Linked DNA regions of Callithrix jacchus. The protein of the gene in region 1 interacts with the protein of each later gene in a biochemical or structural test. Links are inferred from orthologs where the notes say so. Each region holds a gene or a part of one and is shown in the gene's direction. Other genes may lie near its edges. The genes, in order: FLNC and XIRP1.

Region 1 (9,086 bases):
CACACACACCCCACATACAGTGCACACACCCGCATACAGGACACACACACCCTGAATACAGGACACACACACCCTGCATACAGTGCATGGATGGGATGTGCAAGCCCAGCCCCTTCAAGTCATAAAGGCAGAGACCCTTCGAGGTGTGAGGGGTCATATTTTGATAAATGTAGAAACACCATATTCTCCACGGAAGCTAAGACGCAGTCAGCCACTCATTGTGCCTGAAAACACATTGCCTCGTTTAGTTTTTGAAGTCACTCTTGAGAAGTTAGGACATGGATAATCCTTTTAGTCTTGCTCTTTCACCCAGGCTGGAGTGCAGTGGCTTGATCTCGGCTCACTGCAACCTCTGCCTCCCAGGTTCAAGGGATTCTCTGCCTCAGTCTCCTGAGTATGTGGGATTACAGACACTCACCACTACGCCCAGCTAATTTTTGTATTTTTAGTAGTGACGGGGTTTCATCATGTTGGTCAGGCTGGTCTCAAACTCCTGACCTCGTGATCCGCCCACCTCGGCTTCCCAGAATGCTGGGATTACAAGTGTGAGCCACCACGCCAGGCTGGATAATCCTTTTGATAGATGAGGAACCCCATTCCAGAGAGGCCAAGCAATATGATTACAGCCACACAGCGAGGAAGGGGTCTGTGTGGTCCCGTCTAGTGTTTTGTTAACACGAACACCATGTGACTCAGGGTTAAAATGCAGGAGGCTTCCTTTAGGGATTTAGCCCACCAAGGACTGAGGCAGCCACAGTGGAACTGGGGTACAGGCCCCTCTTAGCCTCTGGCAGCTCACACGTGAGTGGGGACTACGCTTTCCAGGCCTTGGCCTCCATGTGCCTGGGAGTGGTCCCCATGTCTGTTGAATTCAGCAGCGCCTGCCCAGGAAGGTTCCTGAGCCCTGTGAGGGCAGGGCCTGCCTGGAGTCACATCAGCCTGATGCCCCAATCCCCCACCAGGCGATGACTCCATGAGGACCTCACAGCTGAACGTGGGCACCTCCACGGACGTGTCGCTGAAGATCACCGAGAGTGATCTGAGCCAGCTGACGGCCAGCATCCGCGCTCCCTCAGGCAACGAGGAGCCCTGCCTGCTGAAGCGCCTGCCCAACCGGCACATTGGTGAGTGAGGGGCCTTGTGGGATGTCAGGGGTGGAGGCCCACAGGTTGCTCTGCCTGACACCCGCTTTCCACAGGGATCTCCTTCACCCCCAAGGAGGTCGGGGAGCACGTGGTGAGCGTGCGCAAGAGTGGCAAGCACGTCACCAACAGCCCCTTCAAGATCCTGGTGGGGCCGTCTGAGATCGGGGATGCCAGCAAGGTGCGGGTCTGGGGCAAGGGACTTTCCGAGGGCCACACGTTCCAGGTGGCAGAGTTCATCGTGGACACTCGAAATGCAGGTACCTCCTGCCCCCGAGACCTCCATTCCAGTGGGTGCCTCTCGAAGGCACTTGTCCTTCTATCCTGCCCAGTACCCCCCTTGGCCACACTCTCCTCCCCAAAACTTCGTGGCCAATCTGTGCCAAGATTTGAATTCTGGGCCCCATTGGGGGAAAGTGAATGGCTCCAGATTAGTTCTCTCACTTTTTTTTTGAGATAGACTCTTGCTCTGTCACTCAGGCTGGAGCGCAGTGGTGCCATCTCAGCTCACTGCAGCCTCTGCCTCCTGGGTTCAAGCAGTTCTTCAGCCTCAGCCTCCCAAGTAGCTGGGACTACAGGCACATGCCACCATGCCTGGCTAATTTTTGTATTTTTAGTAGAGACAGGGTTTCACCATATTGGCCAGACTGGTCTTGAACTCCTGACCTCATGATCCACCCACCTTGGCCTCCCTAAGTGCTGGGATCACAGGCGTGAGCCATGGCGCCTGACCAAGTTTTCTCACATTTAAGAGAAACCTCAGTTGTCCTGAGTTTCTGTCTCTCCCTTGCTCACTGAAACTCAAGAGGCTTACCTTAGGGAATTTTCCAGACTGCCTGTCCCATGGTGCCCCCATCTCCTCCCACTGAGCCATTTTTGTTACTGGTCACTACACACATCAGGTGACCATTCTGGGTGCAGCCTCCATTCTGGGGAGAGCACTGTGGCTGGGCCAGCCTAGGACTGAGGGAGACATGTTCCTGGCTTTCCCCCAGGTTATGGCGGCTTGGGGCTGAGTATTGAAGGCCCCAGCAAAGTGGACATTAACTGTGAGGACATGGAGGATGGGACATGCAAAGTCACCTACTGCCCTACCGAGCCCGGCACCTATATCATCAACATCAAGTTTGCTGACAAGCACGTGCCTGGTAAGGCTCTGGGCAGAGGTCGGATATCAAGACACAGGGAAGCCAACAGGCCGGGGTCTGAGGTTCCTGACCCACCCTCTGTTCCCCACTGCAGGAAGCCCCTTCACTGTGAAGGTGACCGGCGAGGGCCGCATGAAGGAGAGCATCACCCGGCGTAGACAGGCGCCTTCCATTGCCACCATTGGCAGCACCTGTGACCTCAACCTCAAGATCCCAGGTAGAAGCCTGGAGGAGCCTGGGTGGGCGGGTGGTGGGAGTAGGGCTGGCCCGGGCCAGAGCCCACCTGTTGGGTCTCCACCCTGCTTCCTCACCCCTCACTTCTCTCCCTCACCCTGGCTCCTTTGCCCACACAGGGAACTGGTTCCAGATGGTGTCTGCCCAGGAGCGCCTGACACGCACCTTCACGCGCAGCAGCCACACCTACACCCGCACAGAGCGAACAGAGATCAGCAAGACGCGGGGCGGGGAGACGAAGCGGGAGGTGCGGGTGGAGGAGTCCACCCAGGTCGGCGGGGACCCCTTCCCCGCTGTGTTTGGGGACTTCCTGGGCCGGGAGCGTCTAGGGTCCTTCGGCAGCATCACCCGGCAGCAGGAAGGTGAGCACTGAGGGTGCTGCTGACCAGGCCTGACGCTGGCAGACTGGGCCCGAAGACCAGGGCTGGTCTGAGCAGAGGAGGAGGTTTAACTGACAGGGTAGGGAAGGGCCAGGGCTCGAAAGAATCCCAGTGTCACCCTGACATCCCCAAACCCTGCAGGTGAGGCCAGCTCTCAGGACATGACTGCACAGGTGACCAGCCCATCAGGCAAGATGGAAGCCGCGGAGATTGTCGAGGGCGAGGACAGCGCCTACAGCGTGCGCTTTGTGCCCCAGGAGATGGGGCCCCATACGGTCGCTGTCAAGTACCGTGGCCAGCACGTGCCCGGCAGCCCCTTTCAATTCACTGTGGGGCCGCTGGGTGAAGGTGGTGCTCACAAGGTGAGGGCCGGAGGCACAGGGCTGGAGCGAGGTGTGGCCGGAGTGCCAGGTAAGGGGCAGGTAGCCAGGAGTGGGGACGATGTCAGAGCAGCCAGTGTGAGGGGCGATGGTGCTGAAAAGTTCCCCACCTTTCCTGTCCTTAGCCGAGTTCAGCATCTGGACGAGGGAGGCCGGCGCTGGGGGCCTGTCCATTGCCGTGGAGGGTCCTAGCAAGGCAGAGATTGCATTTGAGGATCGAAAAGATGGCTCCTGCGGCGTCTCCTATGTCGTCCAGGAACCAGGTAGGCATCCACGCTGGCGGTGGGGGCTGGGCCTACCTGACCTTCCAGACTGGGATTCTGCTCACTGGCCAGGAAGATGCCTGGGGCCACAGAACTCCCCTACCCAGGATCCCTGCGCTTCCTCTGCCCCGTCTCCTCCACCCCACACCCTCAGAAACTTGTGTCTGTCTTCAGGGCTGAGTGCTGACCACGGAACCTGTACTGGGATAAGGCTGGGGTGGGGAGGCTCCTGCCCCATCCTGGGGCCTGTGCTGACTGGATTCTTTCCCCAGGTGACTATGAGGTCTCCATCAAGTTCAATGATGAGCACATCCCAGACAGCCCCTTTGTGGTGCCTGTGGCCTCCCTCTCAGATGATGCTCGCCGTCTCACTGTCACCAGCCTCCAGGTTTGTTCCCAGGATGGGGGTGGAGAGTTTCTGCTACCTGAGAGATGGGCGGGAGTTGAGGACAGCAGGTCCATGGGGCCAGGGTTTTAGCAGTGACTTTGGAAGGGCCAGTTAGAAGTCCCTTCTCGGAAGGCACAAGGCAGGACCCTTGGGGATGGTGGGCTCCGTCCCTGTGGGCTCACCCCTGCACTCGGGCACACAAAGCCTCATTCTGCCTTTCTCAAGGTGTGTCTGCCTGTCCTACTGCCACCTGCCATTTCTTTTTACAGTGTTCCACCTTTTTCTGTTTTAAGAATGCTAGATGCTAACATTTATGAGAATGAGAGTATAAAATCTATATAAACTAAGAGTAAACCAGTTTGCAGAGGGTGTGAGGGGCTCCTCTAAATCCATTGCCTATGGCCTGCAGAGCCTGGGCTGTGTCCTCTCCTGGTCCCTGGGGGCCTGGCTTACTTTCTCTTGCTGCTGACTTCTAGAGAGGTAGTGTCTTCCTTTCATTCTGTCCTAGGGCACATGTGCAAGGGAGGCTCTCAGCAAGTCACACTGACACATGCAAACCAGGGGCCAGGTGTCCAGGGGACACACTGTAAAGGAGATTCTGCATAGGGGGCACAGAACAGGCCTCACCCCAGCTCCTTCTCCTGCACCCCTCCCAGCTGCCCCTTAGGTGGTCACATTAGCCCGTCCAGAGCCCTTGTGCATCTCCTCCCACTCCTGAACCTGGCTCCCCCATGCAGGCTCCAGTTCCCTCCCCCAGAGCCCTTCTAGGATGCTTCTGGTCCTCCCTGTTGGTCCACTTCCTCCAGGAAGCTCTCCCAGGCCAGTCCAGCCAAACTCAGCTTCCTACATCAGAGCTCTCCAGCACCCCAAGCCCACACAGACAATCAGGCACTGGCCCTCCGCCCTCAGGCTGCTTCACACAGAGTGGGGCCCTTCCTTCCTCAGCCAGGACAGGGCACATCATCTCTCATTTCCCACACGCCAAGCACAGTTAGGATAGCAGGTGCATGCATAGGGTTGTATGCCAGACCCTAGTTCCTCCTGCTCCCAGGCTGGACTGGCAGGAAGGGGCCAGGTTGGATGTGGGGTGGTGGTAGCCTCTGGTCTGAGCTTATAGTGAGCATGGTGTGGGGCTGCAGAAAAGGCTGCTCCAGCCCCAGCCTCCCAGGAGTCTGAGCATCCTCCATGGCCTTTGTAGGAGACGGGGCTCAAGGTGAACCAGCCAGCATCCTTTGCAGTGCAGCTGAACGGTGCCCGAGGCGTGATTGATGCCCGAGTGCACACACCCTCGGGGGCTGTGGAGGAGTGCTATGTCTCTGAGCTGGACAGTGGTGAGCTGCCCCTGCCCCTGCCCACACCCTGAAGGCTGGGGCCTTCTGGGAAGGGGAAGGGAAGGATGGAAGCTAAGCCACTACCCCTCTATCTACAGACAAGCACACCATCCGCTTCATCCCCCACGAGAATGGTGTCCACTCCATAGATGTCAAGTTCAACGGTGCCCACATCCCTGGAAGTCCCTTCAAGATCCGCGTTGGGGAGCAGAGCCAGGCTGGGGACCCAGGCTTGGTGTCAGCCTATGGTCCTGGGCTTGAGGGAGGCACTACTGGTGAGTGCCAGGAGCTGGGGAACAGGGTGACTTCTGGGGGTGCTTGGCCACTAGTCTGGTGCTGCTTTCCTCCAGAGGCAGGGGCCCTGCTCTCTGAGCCAGAAGTCCCCACAGAGGCTGCCCAGGGAGCTGGGGCCCAGACCCTCTTGGGCCACAAGCCCTTCCTGCCCTCAGCCTTGCTACCTCTGGCCCCCAGGTGTGTCATCAGAGTTCATCGTGAACACCCTGAATGCTGGCTCGGGGGCCTTGTCTGTCACCATTGATGGCCCCTCCAAGGTGCAGCTGGACTGTCGGGAGTGTCCTGAGGGTCATGTGGTCACTTACACTCCCATGGCCCCTGGCAACTACCTCATTGCCATCAAGTACGGTGGCCCCCAGCACATTGTGGGCAGCCCCTTCAAGGCCAAGGTCACAGGTGAGTGCTGGCTCAGGGGAGGCCCACACAGCCTTAGCCCAGCCCAGCCTGGAGGGCTCCGGTGGCCACGCACATCCAGGCCATAGTCTGCCCTAGACATCATGGTCAGTTACCAGGAATAGAGGTGGGCCTGGCTCTACACAGCACACACTCCATGGAGCCTCGCATGACCCTGTACATATCCCTTTCTTCCTCCCATCTCGGCCCTCCCTCCTTCATCTCTGGCCTTCGCTGGCTCCTGAGGCTCTAGAGTCACTTTCTTCCCTCCTGGCTTTCCAAATTCCTCAGCTCCAAGAAGACACAGTCAGTACTGAGCAAACTCCCCTTCCCGGGGCTGTCTATAGGACGGGTTGGGTGGGTGTTCCTTTGCAAGGTGACTCTTACCCTGTGACTTGGCCTGAGTTCCCGACAAAGCCTGCAGGGATGAGGGACGCAGCCCTCCGAGGCCCCAGCCCTAGGGTGAAGCATGAATTGGAACAGGCAGCTCCAGCCCTGGCAGGGAATGGGGCTGGGCTCCTAGAGTGGCCCTTGGAGGAATCTGGGGGAGCCCCAGATGCAGGCAGTGAGTCCCACTGGGTGGCAGCGCTGGCTGAGGGTCCCCCACCTGGGGAGCACCAGGAAGCCCTTCTGACCAGGTTTGTGCCCCTCCACCCGCCCCGCAGGTCCGAGGCTGTCCGGAGGCCACAGCCTTCACGAAACATCCACGGTTCTGGTGGAGACTGTGACCAAGTCTTCCTCAAGCCGGGGCTCCAGCTACAGCTCCATCCCCAAGTTCTCCTCAGATGCCAGCAAGGTGGTGACTCGGGGGCCTGGGCTGTCCCAGGCTTTCGTGGGCCAGAAGAACTCCTTCACCGTGGACTGCAGCAAAGCAGGCAGGTGGAGGTGGGGAGGGCGTCTTCTGGGGAGGGAGCAAGAAGCCATCTGGGAGCAGGGCGTGGGTCCCCCTTGGGGGCTCCCTGGTGTGAGCCTGGCCCTCTGCCTCCCTCTCCAGGCACCAACATGATGATGGTGGGCGTGCACGGGCCCAAGACCCCCTGTGAGGAGGTGTACGTGAAGCACATGGGGAACCGGGTGTACAACGTCACCTACACCGTCAAAGAGAAAGGGGACTACATCCTTATTGTCAAGTGGGGCGACGAAAGTGTCCCTGGAAGCCCCTTCAAAGTCAAGGTCCCTTGAATCCCAGAAGTGCCTCCCCAGCCTCGGCCCCCACCTCCAGCCAAACACACATCACACACACACACACACACACACACACACACACACAAATGTGCCACACCCAGACACACGCATAGAATCAGACACTACAAACACCTGCCTTGGGGATGAAGGCACAGCCTCCCCTACCACCGTGCCCTGGGGGTTGGGGGGCCTTGTCTGTTTCAGGACAGTGTCCCTCCCCGGGGATGTGACTTGAGGGCCAACTGGGGCCAGGCTCAGGGACAAAAGCTGGGGCACAAGTGGGCTGAAGCCCTGAGTTTTCTGGCAGGGCTGAGCAGTGGGGGAGCATTGTGTTGGGGGTATCTGTGTGTGAGAGGTCACCCTCAAACTGCACTGCTGGCCAATCACCCTCCTGCCTCTGAGGACTTGGTCTGGTCCTTCTGGTGGCTACAACCCCAGAGTTTTAAGGACTTGGAAAGGAAAATACAACCAGAGAGGAAAAACCCTGAAGCACCACAGTGGGTTGGCACAGGGACTGGCTGAGCGGTGTGCACTCCGCCCAGGCCAGGCTTCCTGGGGGCCTGATTTCTCTCTCGCTGTCTCTTTTTTTTAAATGGTTGCACGTCTCTGCCCCATTGGGGGCCTTTTTTACACACTGCGAGGCCCAGCTTTGTAGGGGAACTTTTGCACATGTCATGTGGCTCAGCTGGGAGCCGCTTAGGTGGAAAACTCTAAATAAAGTGCGGCTGTCGCAGACACTTGGCTGTTCTTTGTGGGCTGCCCTCTGTCCTGCCACACGAAAAACCCAGCCCTGGGGAGGCAGAGGTGACCTGGCTGTCCCCTGGAAGACTGACCCTGATCAAGGGGAAGATCCTTGGGGCAAAAGCGAGGTCTGGGATGTTGGCAGATCGCTTGAAAGAAGCAGAATCAGGGGCTTGTGGGAAGGGGTCCCAGCAGGAGGATTTGTGGATAGTACAGAGTGTGGACAGTGTTCTACAGTACTGCCCCAGGACCCCTGGGAGGCCAGTTTCAGTTCAGCCTGACCTCGAGGATGTTTTTCAAATTAAGACCTTAAAACTGAGCTCTGACTCAAATAGGAATATTCCTCGACCAGTATGCAGGCAGAACCACGTGCAGACCCCAGCACCTTTTCTCCAGCGGGTTCCCGAATCAACTTGGGCTATCCCGTGCCCCGCTCCAGCACTGAGCTTGCACAGGGCCTCCCTCCTGAACTCCTGCACTAGCCCTGCCCTGGCCAGCTCCCTCCAATCTCCCCTCCCTGCTGCAGCTTGAGGAGGGTGGTCACTTTAAAGAGAGTATGCCCCTCTGGTTTAGGCCCTCTGTGGCTCCCTCCTGCTCCAGAGTAAAGTCTCTTCTTGACAAGGTCTCCAGGGTCCCCCAGGTTCAGACAGCAGCCTCTCCATCTGTATGTGTTGGGCAGCAAACCCATTCCCCTCTACCTCCAACCCCCCTTCACCACCTCTAGTTAACTGGGCACCCATGCTGTGATTTGGGCCCCTGCCCGGAAACACCCTTGCCTCCCCATCCTCTTCATCTTCCTGGCCAACAGGAAGTTTTCCTGGACCCCTCCCTGCCCCTCCTGGATCAGCGCCCCCAGCTCCCAAACCGCCCTGGTACACATCTCTAGCTGCATTTACAACCCTAAACTGTGGCCATATATCCAGGGCTCTCCCACCAGACTGAGCTCCCTGGTCCTGGTGTGAATGAATGAATGTGTATGAATGAATAAGTAAATGAGCAGCTGAGTAGCTGCAGCAGGGCAAAGAAGACTTTCATTTAACTGATCCCACAACTCGACCCACCTGGACATTTCAGAACGCAGTGGTGGGCCTAGAAGAAAAACCCACAAGGCCCCAACTTCTAATCCCTGACCTCCCTACCTCTTCATTCAACAGCCTCTCTGCTTCCTCCCTCTTTCACCCCCTCCCACACACCCCTCCTCCCTCGC
Region 2 (9,496 bases), on another chromosome or scaffold:
ACTTTGGATGAATGAAGTTTCTTCCCCTCTGCTTCCCCTCCCCAGCCCAAAGGACATGTAACTGATTCCCCCGGATGGAAGAGTGACTTCCACAAGCCCTAAAAATAACCAAACCACTTAATGCTCTGAACATAGCCTCTCCCGCCTGCCCCCACCAGGGCCCACCCCCTAGCCAGCAAGATAAAGGCAGCTGCTACGGCTGGCAGGGGACAGAGACCTGGAGCCAGCGAGGCGAGAAGGTGTCTGCAGAGCCAGCAGGACTGAACCACACCGAACAGAACCTCGAGAGGAAGGACCAACCCTGAGACCACACCTGTTACAGACCCCAAGCACCCTGTCAGCTAAGAGAGACCCTCGGTGAGTCACCTACCTCTCTGTCCTTCCACGGCAAGGCTGGCTTTCACAGCTGGGGTCCCCTATCCTGGAATGGACGTATTGGGGAGGCTCTGAGTCTGGGAGGAGACTGAGGGCATGCATGGGAGGAGGTGAGTGAAGTCTCAGATATAAAGAACCCACAAAGGAGGTAAAGACAGAGTGAGCCCCATGGGAGCTCTCAGAGTGGCTCCCACAGGCCTGAAGCAAGCAGAAAGGACAGGCTCCTGACTCCACCCAGAAAGGCCTGGAGTTGTGATTTTTAAAATACAAGGTGTGGAGTACCTCAGGCTTCAGGGCTTCCTCCCAGGGAAGCCTCAGGTAGGCCCAGGGTCTGGAGGAAGGAGGAACAGAAGTGAGGTGGGGCTGGGGGCTGCAGCTAGGCCTGGGTGTGCATTGCCAGAACAAGCCCCAGGCCCAGTTGTTGTGGGGGACACTCTTAGCATATCTAGCCCAGCGATAGCTCCCAGGGGCTGGCCTGAGCCCAGCTCCCTGCACATCACAGCCTAAAACCTGGGGTGGAATTTGGACTCTGCCCATGTCCATGGTCTTGCCCAGTTGGAAAGCCCCCAGGGCAGATCTGGAGGACTCAGGGCAGGGAGACCAGACCTGAATTTGCCCAGATGTAAAGACATATGGAGCCAGCTGGGCCGTGGAGGAGGTGACCTGAGGACAGCAGGGGGACCATCCTGAGAGGCTCGCCAAGCTCTAGGACAGTCCTTGGGGCTGACCCCACCCTAAGTCCGGTCCCAGTTATGAATTCTGTCCCGACTCTACACTTGGCCCAGCAGTCTCAGGCCAGGCAAGGGTGGTGGTGGGAAGGCCAGGGGTTGGGAGGCTTGCTTTAGGCTTGCTGCCGCCTTGCTGAGCCTCCCTGGACAGCTCCTTTCCCCTCTGTGGGCCTCTGTTTCTCCGTTTGAACAATAAGGGGTTTACACTGAGTGACCTCTGAGGGTCCTTAGGCCTGACATCCCTGGACTCCATGATAATAGCTGTCTGTGGCCCCAGCAGAGATTCTGGACATTCCTGGGGGCGGGGTGGGGCGAAGCTGACGGTCTGCACCTGCCATCTGCCCAGGCCACCCTGGTGGAGACAGGATGGCATGGAGGTGGCAAGAGGCACAGGTTTGCCTTGGGCAGGGGAGCCTCTCCGGAGCTCAGAAATGAAAGAAACCACCCAGAGCTTTGATGAGACTCAGGCTGCAGGTTTGAGAGCTCTCACTCCCCAAAGGTTCTGATGTCTCTACTGGACTTGCCAGGGTGGGCGTGGGGTAAGCAGGACCCAGTTCCCTCTCTCCTTCAGAGGTAGCCATAGGAAGTCCCGCCCCACCTGCTGCCAGCATCCCCACACCTCTTCCCGGTGCAGACTCCTTTGCACAGGGAAGGTGTCCAGGTTCCAGAACCTGGTTGGCCTGCAGTGCAGGGGCCTGACACCAGCTCAGGAGGCAGGATCAGGGAGCCCAGGGTAATGAAGGAGATGAGGTGAGCCAATGACCCTGAGGGTCCCCACTGACTGGGCCTCAGCCACCCTGAGCCCAGGGCTGCTGTTCTGAGGCCAAGACCTCAGCTATATTTAGCACTTTATGTGCTGCAGAGCAGTGGGTCAGGGGCAGCGGGAGGGGGCACATGCTTCCCATTCTTTCCCTGCTGACCTCTGATGACTGTCAGTACACCTGTCACAAGACAGATAAGACAAACATCGACAGAGAGCAGAGAAGGGCTTAAGGGGTGGGAGGCCATTGACCGGTGGGGCACAGCAGGGGAGAAGCTAAGCTGGGGTGGCCGTGAGGCCTGCAGGGGTAGGGCTTAGCCTGAAGCCCCCCGAGTCCGAGCCCCTGAAGCTGTGCTTGCTTGCTTAGGAAGAGGTCTCCAGGGCTGGGCACGGTGGCTCATGCTTGTAATCCCAGCACTTTGGGAGGCTAAGGCCAGTGGATCACGAGGTTAGGAGTTCAAGACCAGCCTGTCCAATATGGTGAAACCTCATTTGTACTAAAAATACAAAAATTGGCCAGGCATGGTGGTGCACACCTACAGCCCCAGCTACTTGGGAGGCTGAGGCAAGAGAATTGCTTGAACCCAGGAGGTGGAGGTTGCAGGGAGCCGAGATTGCGCCATTGCACTCCAGTCTGGGTAACAACAGCGAAACTCTGTCTCAAAAAGAGAGAAAAAAAAAGAGGTCTCCAAGGTCTCCAGGAGCAAGGGGCAGAAAGCACCCTGGTCCCTTGGTCCTCTCCCTGGCAGGTGTCACTGTCATATCTTCCCAGGGTGCCTGCTGGGGAATAGAGCGTCCTATGGCCAAAAGGAAAGCTTTATACCCCCGGCCCTCTTATTTCTTGGGGCCAGGCCCCAGGTGGAGTTCAGGGACCCCAAGCCAGCACTGCCTTCCACTTATTCACAAAGATGTGACTCTGGGCCTAAGCTCCCGCATCTTAATTTATAAATGGTTGTGCTAAAAGACCTTTCAGGTCCCCCTAGCTCAGGCATTCTCAGTCTTGATTATAGTGCAGAAAACCCTGACCGGAGATTCAGAATTTGGGGCTGGCCTAACCACGAGATATCTGGTGAGAGCTTCCCAGCCCTGATCCTCAGCTGCTTCCGCTCCAGCATGGGCTGCTGGCCTCTGCCTGCCTCCCTGGGCCTGGGAAAGGTTGGAGTGAGTTGACAGCCAAGAGGTAAAAGTTAGGCAAGGCTCCAGGTCAACATGGCAAGTCTGCCCTCTGGTGTTCTGCAAGGGAATCTCGTCTCCAGTTTAGAGATCCGCCCCGCCAGTGCTGGGACTCCAAAAATCAGGATTCCCCCAGGCCACTCCCCTGGAAGTCTAGGGAAACGCCGATTTTTAACAAAGGCAGGCGAGGATGGGGCATGTCCAGTTTGCCCTCTGGGTTTGGGCATCCCTTGTGGAGCTAAAGGAAAGTGTCTCATGGCGGGTGGTACCATGGTCACTCCCTAGCAACCTGGGAGATGCAGGGAAGCAGGAACCCATTGCAATGGGTGGGTCCACATGTCCTAAGTTCAAGACCCATTGCACACCAAACATGCCGGCAGCAGAATGAAGCCCAGGCCAGGCGCATAGAGAGAACGAAGGAGTCTCTAAGCATAAGTCAACCAGAGCTACTCTGACCCTGAGCCCTGTTTCCTGCCATTGCTCCCAGTATCCAGCCTCTACCCTGCTGATCATCTAGACCTAAGGCCCCCAATCCCACTCTCACCTCTTCCCCTTCTTCTCAGAAGGATGGCCGACACCCAGACGCAGGTGGCCCCCACACCAACCATGAGGATGGCAGCTGCAGGGGACCTGCCTCTCCCTCCACCCCCAGCCCTAGAGGACCTGCCACTGCCGCCACCCAAGGAGTCCTTCTCCAAGTTCCACCAGCAGCGGCAAGCTAGTGAACTCCGCCGCCTCTACAGGCACATCCACCCCGAGCTCCGCAAGAATCTGGCCGAGGCTGTGGCGGAGGATCTGGCTGAGGTCCTGGGCTCTGAGGAACCCACCGAGGGTGACGTTCAGTGCATGCGCTGGATCTTTGAGAACTGGCGACTGGATGCCATCGGAGATCACGAGAGGCCAGCTGCCAAGGAGCCCGTGCCAGGTGGTGACGTCCAGGCCACCTCCCGCAAGTTTGAAGAAGGCTCCTTTGCCAACAGCACAGACCAAGAGCCAGCCAGGCCCCAGCTGGGTGGAGGGGACGTCCGTGCAGCCCGCTGGCTATTTGAGACAAAGCCCCTGGATGAGCTGACAGAGCGGGCCAAGGAACTGGAGGCTACTGTGAGGGAGCCCGCAGCCAGCGGAGACGTGCAGGGTACCAGGATGCTGTTTGAGACACGGCCGCTGGACTGCCTGGGCTCCCGCACCTCCCTGCAGGAGCAGAGCCCATTGGAACTGCGCTCAGAGATTCAAGAGCTGAAGGGTGATGTGAAAAAGACAGTGAAGCTGTTCCAAACGGAGCCCCTGTGTGCCATCCAGGACACAGAGGGTGCCATCCACGAGGTCAAGGCCGCATGCCGGGAGGAGATCCAAAGCAACGCGGTGAGGTCTGCCCGCTGGCTCTTTGAGACTCGGCCTCTGGACGCCTTCAACCAGGACCCCAGCCAGGTGCGGGTGATCCGGGGGATTTCCCTGGAGGAGGGGGACCGGCCCGACATCAGTGCGACTCGCTGGATCTTTGAGACGCAGCCCCTGGATGCCATCCGGGAGATCTTGGTAGACGAGAAGGACTTCCAACCATCCCCAGACCTCATCCCACCTGGTCCGGATGTTCAGCAGCAGCGGCATCTGTTTGAGACCCGAGCACTGGACACTCTGAAGGGGGACGAGGAGGCTGGAGCAGAGGCCCCACCTAAGGAGGAAGTGGTCCCTGGTGATGTCCGCTCCACCCTGTGGTTATTTGAGACAAAGCCCCTGGATGCTTTCAGAGACAGAGTCCAAGTGGGTCACCTACAGCGGGTGGGTCCCCAGGACGGTGAGGGGCACCTATCCAGTGACAGCCCCTCAGCACTGCCCGGCTCTCAGGGTGCCCCCCAGAGGGATGGGCTAAAGGGAGATGTGAAGACGTTTAAGAACCTTTTTGAGACCCTTCCCCTGGACAGCATTGGACAGGGTGAGGTTCCAGCCCATGGGCGTCTGAGCAGAGAAGAAGGAACTGATTCTGCTGGACAGGCCCAGAGCATAGGGGCCCCAGTGTATGCCATGCAGGACAGCAAGGGCCGCCTCCACGCCCTGACTTCTGTTAGCAGAGAGCAGATAGTCGGAGGTGACGTGCAGGGCTACAGGTGGATGTTTGAGACACAGCCCCTGGACCAGCTCGGCCGAAGCCCCAGTACCATCGATGTGGTTCGGGGTGTCACCCGGCAGGAGGTAGTGGCTGGGGATGTTGGCACTGCTCGGTGGCTCTTTGAGACCCAGCCCCTGGAGATGATCCACCAGAGGGAGCTGCAGAAACGAAAGGAAGAAGAAGGGAAGAGTCAGGGAGACCCCCAGTCTGAGGCGCCCCCGAAGGGCGATGTTCAGACCATCCGGTGGTTGTTCGAGACGTGCCCAATGAGTGAGCTGGCCGAAAAGCAGGGGTCAGAGGTCACAGATCGCACAGCTAAGGCTGAGGCCCAGTCCTGCACCTGGATGTTCAAGCCCCAAGCCTCAGACAGGCCAGCGGGGTCCAGGGAGCAGCACCTGCAGGTCAGCCAGGTCCCGGCTGGGGAGAGACAGACAGACAGACATGTCTTTGAGACCGAGCCTCTTCAGGCCCCAGGCGGTCCCTGCGGAAGAGGGCCTGTGAGATACTGCAGCCGCGTGGAGATCCCTTCAGGGCAGGTGTCTCGACAGAAGGAGGTTTTCCAGGCCCTGGAGGCAGGCAAGAAGGAAGAAGAGCAGCCCCGGGTAATTGTCGGGCCGATCCCTGCAGGTTCTGTGCACAAGTTCACCTGGCTTTTTGAGAATTGCCCCATGGGCTCCCTAGCAGCTGAGAGCATCCGAGGGGGCAGCCTCCAGGAAGAGCAGTCCATGAGTCCCCCAGAGAACGGGATTCGAGAGAGCCAGGAGACGGCAGCCGAGGGGACCCTGTGGACTCTGCACGCCACCCCTGGCATCCTGCACCACGGAGGCATCCTCATGGAGGCCCGAGGGCCAGGGGAGCTCTGCCTTGCCAAGTATGTGCTCTTGGGCACAGGGCAGGGATGCCCCCATATACGAAAGGAGGAGCTGGTGTCGGGTGAACTTCCCAGGATCATCCGCCAAGTCCTGCGCCGGCCAGATGTGGACCGGCAGGGGCTGCTGGTGCAGGAAGACCCAACTGGCCAGCTCCGACTCAAGTCGCTGAGGCTGCCAACTCCAGGCAGCAATGAGGGTGCTGAAGACATGGACCCTGAGTTCCAGCAGCTTCTGGCTTGCAGTCTCGGGGCCTCTGTGGCAAGGACTGGGCTGGTGATGCAGGAGACAGAGCAGGGCCTGATCGCACTGACTGCCTACTCTCTGCAGCCCCGGCTGACTAGCAAGGCCTCCGAGAGGAGCAGCGTGCAGCTGTTGGCCAGCTGCATAGATAAAGGAGACCTGAGTGGTCTGCACAGTCTGCGGTGGGAGCCACCGGCCGACCCGAGTCCAGAGCCAGCCAGCGAGGGGGCCCAGAGCCTGCCCCCAACGGAGAGCGTCATCCATGTTCCCCCACTGGACCCCAGCATGGGGATGGGGCATCTGAGAGGCCCAGGGGCCACCCCCTGCCCTCCTCAAGCCATTGGAAAGGCAGTCCCTGTGGCTGGGGAAGCTGCAGCACCAGCCCAATTGCAAAACACAGAAAAGCAGGGAGACAGTCACACTGGACAGAAAGGGATGGCAGTCTTGGGAAAGTCAGAAGGAGCCACGACTACCCCTCCAGGGCCTGGGGTCCCAGACCTGCAGGCCGCCATGCAGAGTCTTCGGGTGGCAGCAGCTGAAGCCCAGAGCCTGCACAAGCAAGTTCTGAACAAGCACAAGCAGGGCCCCGCCCCCGCGGCCACTGCCGAGCCCATCCAGGCCGGTCTTCGGAAAGCTGGGGGTATCCAAAGCAACATCAGGCCTGGGAGTGGAAGTGATCCCCGGATCCCAGCAGCCCCCAGAAAGGTCAGTGGGGAAAAGCAGGCAGTACCCAGAGGGCCACCTGGGGGGCGGGTGACAATTCAGGACGGCATCTACACCGCTCATCCCGCGAGGACCTTTGACCCGCCTGGGGGTGTCCAGCCTTCTGAGAGGGAACCCCAGTCAAGGCACAGGGAAACCGCCCTCTCAGTCCAGGCTGTCGGCTCCCTCCAGGGATGCCCAGCTCAGAGTACTGGGCCAGGGCAGGAGGTGCCTGGGAGCCACACACAGATGGCCTGGGGGCCTCCAGGGAAGCTGATGGCAGAAGTCTGCCCAGGGGGCCTCCAAGCTGCAGAGACCACCCTGAAGACTGCCCCTCTAGGCCGCCACATTCTGGCCTCTGGGCCCCAAGTGCCAGGTGCCAGCCTGCAACCCCGTAATGCCTTTGTTCCTCCTCCTCCTACTCTCCCAGCTGCTGTGACAGGACCTGACTTTCCAGCCAGAGCCGGCTGTGATGAGGACTCCATCCAGCAGGTCTCCGAGCCCCTGAAGGACCCCCTTCTTCAGTCCCACAGCAGCTCTGCTGGCCAGAGAGCCCCTGGAGGGTTACAGACAAAGACCTCAAAACTGGAGCCCACCAAGTCCCCAAAGGAGAAGCCACAGCTGCCCCCTAAACCCGCACACCTAACCCAGAGCCACCCTCCTCGGAGGCTGCCCAAGCCCTTGCCTCTATTTCCCAGCTTTTCCTTGGAGAGGGGGCAAAGAGAGCAGCAACGAGGTGAGACAGATGCCGCCGTCCCTCAGCCAGCCAAGGTTCCCACCACTGTGGGCCAGGGCCACAGACCTCTGGCCGACTGCCCCAGTGGACACAGCACCACGGCCCCCAGGCCCGCCCAGAATCAGAGTTCTGAGCCCCCCAAGCTCAATGCTGTCAACCGTGATCCCACCTCACCACAGGGGGGCCCCAGCTCCCCAGGAGAGCAGCCCGTGGAAGGGGCCCCCGAGAGTCCTGCGAGTCTGCAAAGAAACCAGAATGAGCTCCAGGGCCTCCTGACCCAGGTGCAAGCCTTGGAGAAGGAGGCCGAGAGCAGTGTGGACGTGCAGGCCCTGCGGAGGCTCTTTGAGGCGGTGCCCCAGCTGGAAGGGGCTGCCCCTCAGGCCCCCACTACCCGCCAAAAGCCCGAGGCCTCCGTTGAGCAGGCCTTTGGGGAGCTGACACGGGTCAGCACGGAAGTTGCTCGGCTGAAGGAACAGACGCTGGCCAGGCTGCTGGACATTGAAGAAGCGGTGCACAAGGCGCTCAGCTCCATGTCCAGCCTCCAGCCTGAGGCCAGTGCCAGAGGCCATTTCCAGGGACCTCCAAAAGACCACAGTGCCCACAAGATCAGTGTCACAGTCAGCAGTAGCGCCAGGCCCAGTGGCTCCAGCCAGGAGCTCGGGGGTCAAACTGCAGTCAAGATCCAAGCCAAGGCTGGATGCCACACAGAGGCCCACAGCAAAGTCAGGGTCAGAAATCACACGGAGGTCGGAGGTCACACAGCCTCAACGGCGCCTCCCACCGGGAGGCAGGAGACATCACAAGAAGACCTGTGCCTCCCTCGAGTCTTACCTCCCAGCCGAGATTCACCCTCCTCCCCAACATTTATCTCCATCCAGTCGGCCACAAGGAAGCCTCCAGAGACTCCCAGCTTCAAGGGCAACCCTGACGTCTTGGTGAAAAGCACACGACTAGTTCAGGACACGGGCCAGGCCCTGCTCCAGCAGAAAGGTGTCCAAGACAAGGCTGGGAAGAAGGACGTCACCCAGTGCTCTGCACCGCCTAAGCCTGCCCCTCCCTCAGCCAGTCCCCTGCCCACAGGGCGGCAAAAGAGTGTTCTGCAGCTGCAGACGGGGCCAGGGAGCTTGCAGCACTGTGGAGCCATGAGAACTGTGACTGAGCAGTACGAGGAGGTGGACCAGTTCGGGAACACAGTCCTCATGTCTTCCAGCACAGTCACCGAGCGGGCAGAGCCACCCAAGAGCCCAGGTCCCCACCCCCGGCTCTATGCCTCCCCCCTGCTGAGGCAGTTCCTACACAGCCCAGCTGGGTTCAGCAGTGAACTGGCAGAAGCCGAGCTGGTGCAGGTGTCCTGCAGCCCCCAGACAGCTGCCCAATAAGGCCACCCCTCCCACCACACCTGCCACCTGTTCTGGCCTCCACTGCCCCAGGACTGAGGTGGGTGCCTACCTCCTGCACCCTGGTGCAAGGACCAAGAGGAAAGGACATCTTCTGAGGACGACTGGGGCCATCTCCCTTTTGTCAGTTCTTTCAATAGGCCCAGTTCCTCCGATGGGAAAAGAAAGGTCTGGAAGCAGCCCACGGAGTAGCGCAGGCGTGGGGGTGGGGTGGGTGCCCCCAGCTGCTTGGGGGAGGATGCAATATATACACAAACACGTTTCTCACACAGACCTGGCCCACGCATGGACATGTGTGAATCTGCACGCCACTGCCTGAGGTGGAGCCCCCCAGAGTGTCCCTCTACCCAGAGGTTTTATTTCTTTTATTAGTCTGAATGTTCCCAGCCATCTGCTCCGTAATCCC

Evidence for each region.
Region 2: the proteins of FLNC (region 1) and XIRP1 form a complex in vitro, tested with the Homo sapiens proteins (2 studies listed by BioGRID and IntAct, with this or other methods). The link is inferred for Callithrix jacchus from reciprocal best matches to the Homo sapiens genes FLNC and XIRP1.

The regions. Positions count from the first base shown.
Region 1 is NC_133512.1:118,323,207-118,332,292, reverse strand, and holds the end of FLNC (filamin-C), read left to right. Parts: intron 1-962; coding exon 963-1,124; intron 1,125-1,198; coding exon 1,199-1,402; intron 1,403-2,137; coding exon 2,138-2,290; intron 2,291-2,384; coding exon 2,385-2,507; intron 2,508-2,643; coding exon 2,644-2,886; intron 2,887-3,045; coding exon 3,046-3,315; intron 3,316-3,409; coding exon 3,410-3,547; intron 3,548-3,819; coding exon 3,820-3,935; intron 3,936-5,133; coding exon 5,134-5,266; intron 5,267-5,364; coding exon 5,365-5,541; intron 5,542-5,737; coding exon 5,738-5,956; intron 5,957-6,618; coding exon 6,619-6,828; intron 6,829-6,947; coding exon 6,948-7,135; 3' UTR 7,136-7,873; downstream 7,874-9,086.
Region 2 is NC_133518.1:77,037,918-77,047,413, reverse strand, and holds the start of XIRP1 (xin actin-binding repeat-containing protein 1), read left to right. Parts: upstream 1-211; 5' UTR 212-357; intron 358-3,599; 5' UTR 3,600-3,603; coding exon 3,604-9,072; 3' UTR 9,073-9,496. UniProt on the Homo sapiens protein: Protects actin filaments from depolymerization. Required for correct cardiac intercalated disk ultrastructure via maintenance of cell-cell adhesion stability, and as a result maintains cardiac organ morphology, conductance and heart beat rhythm.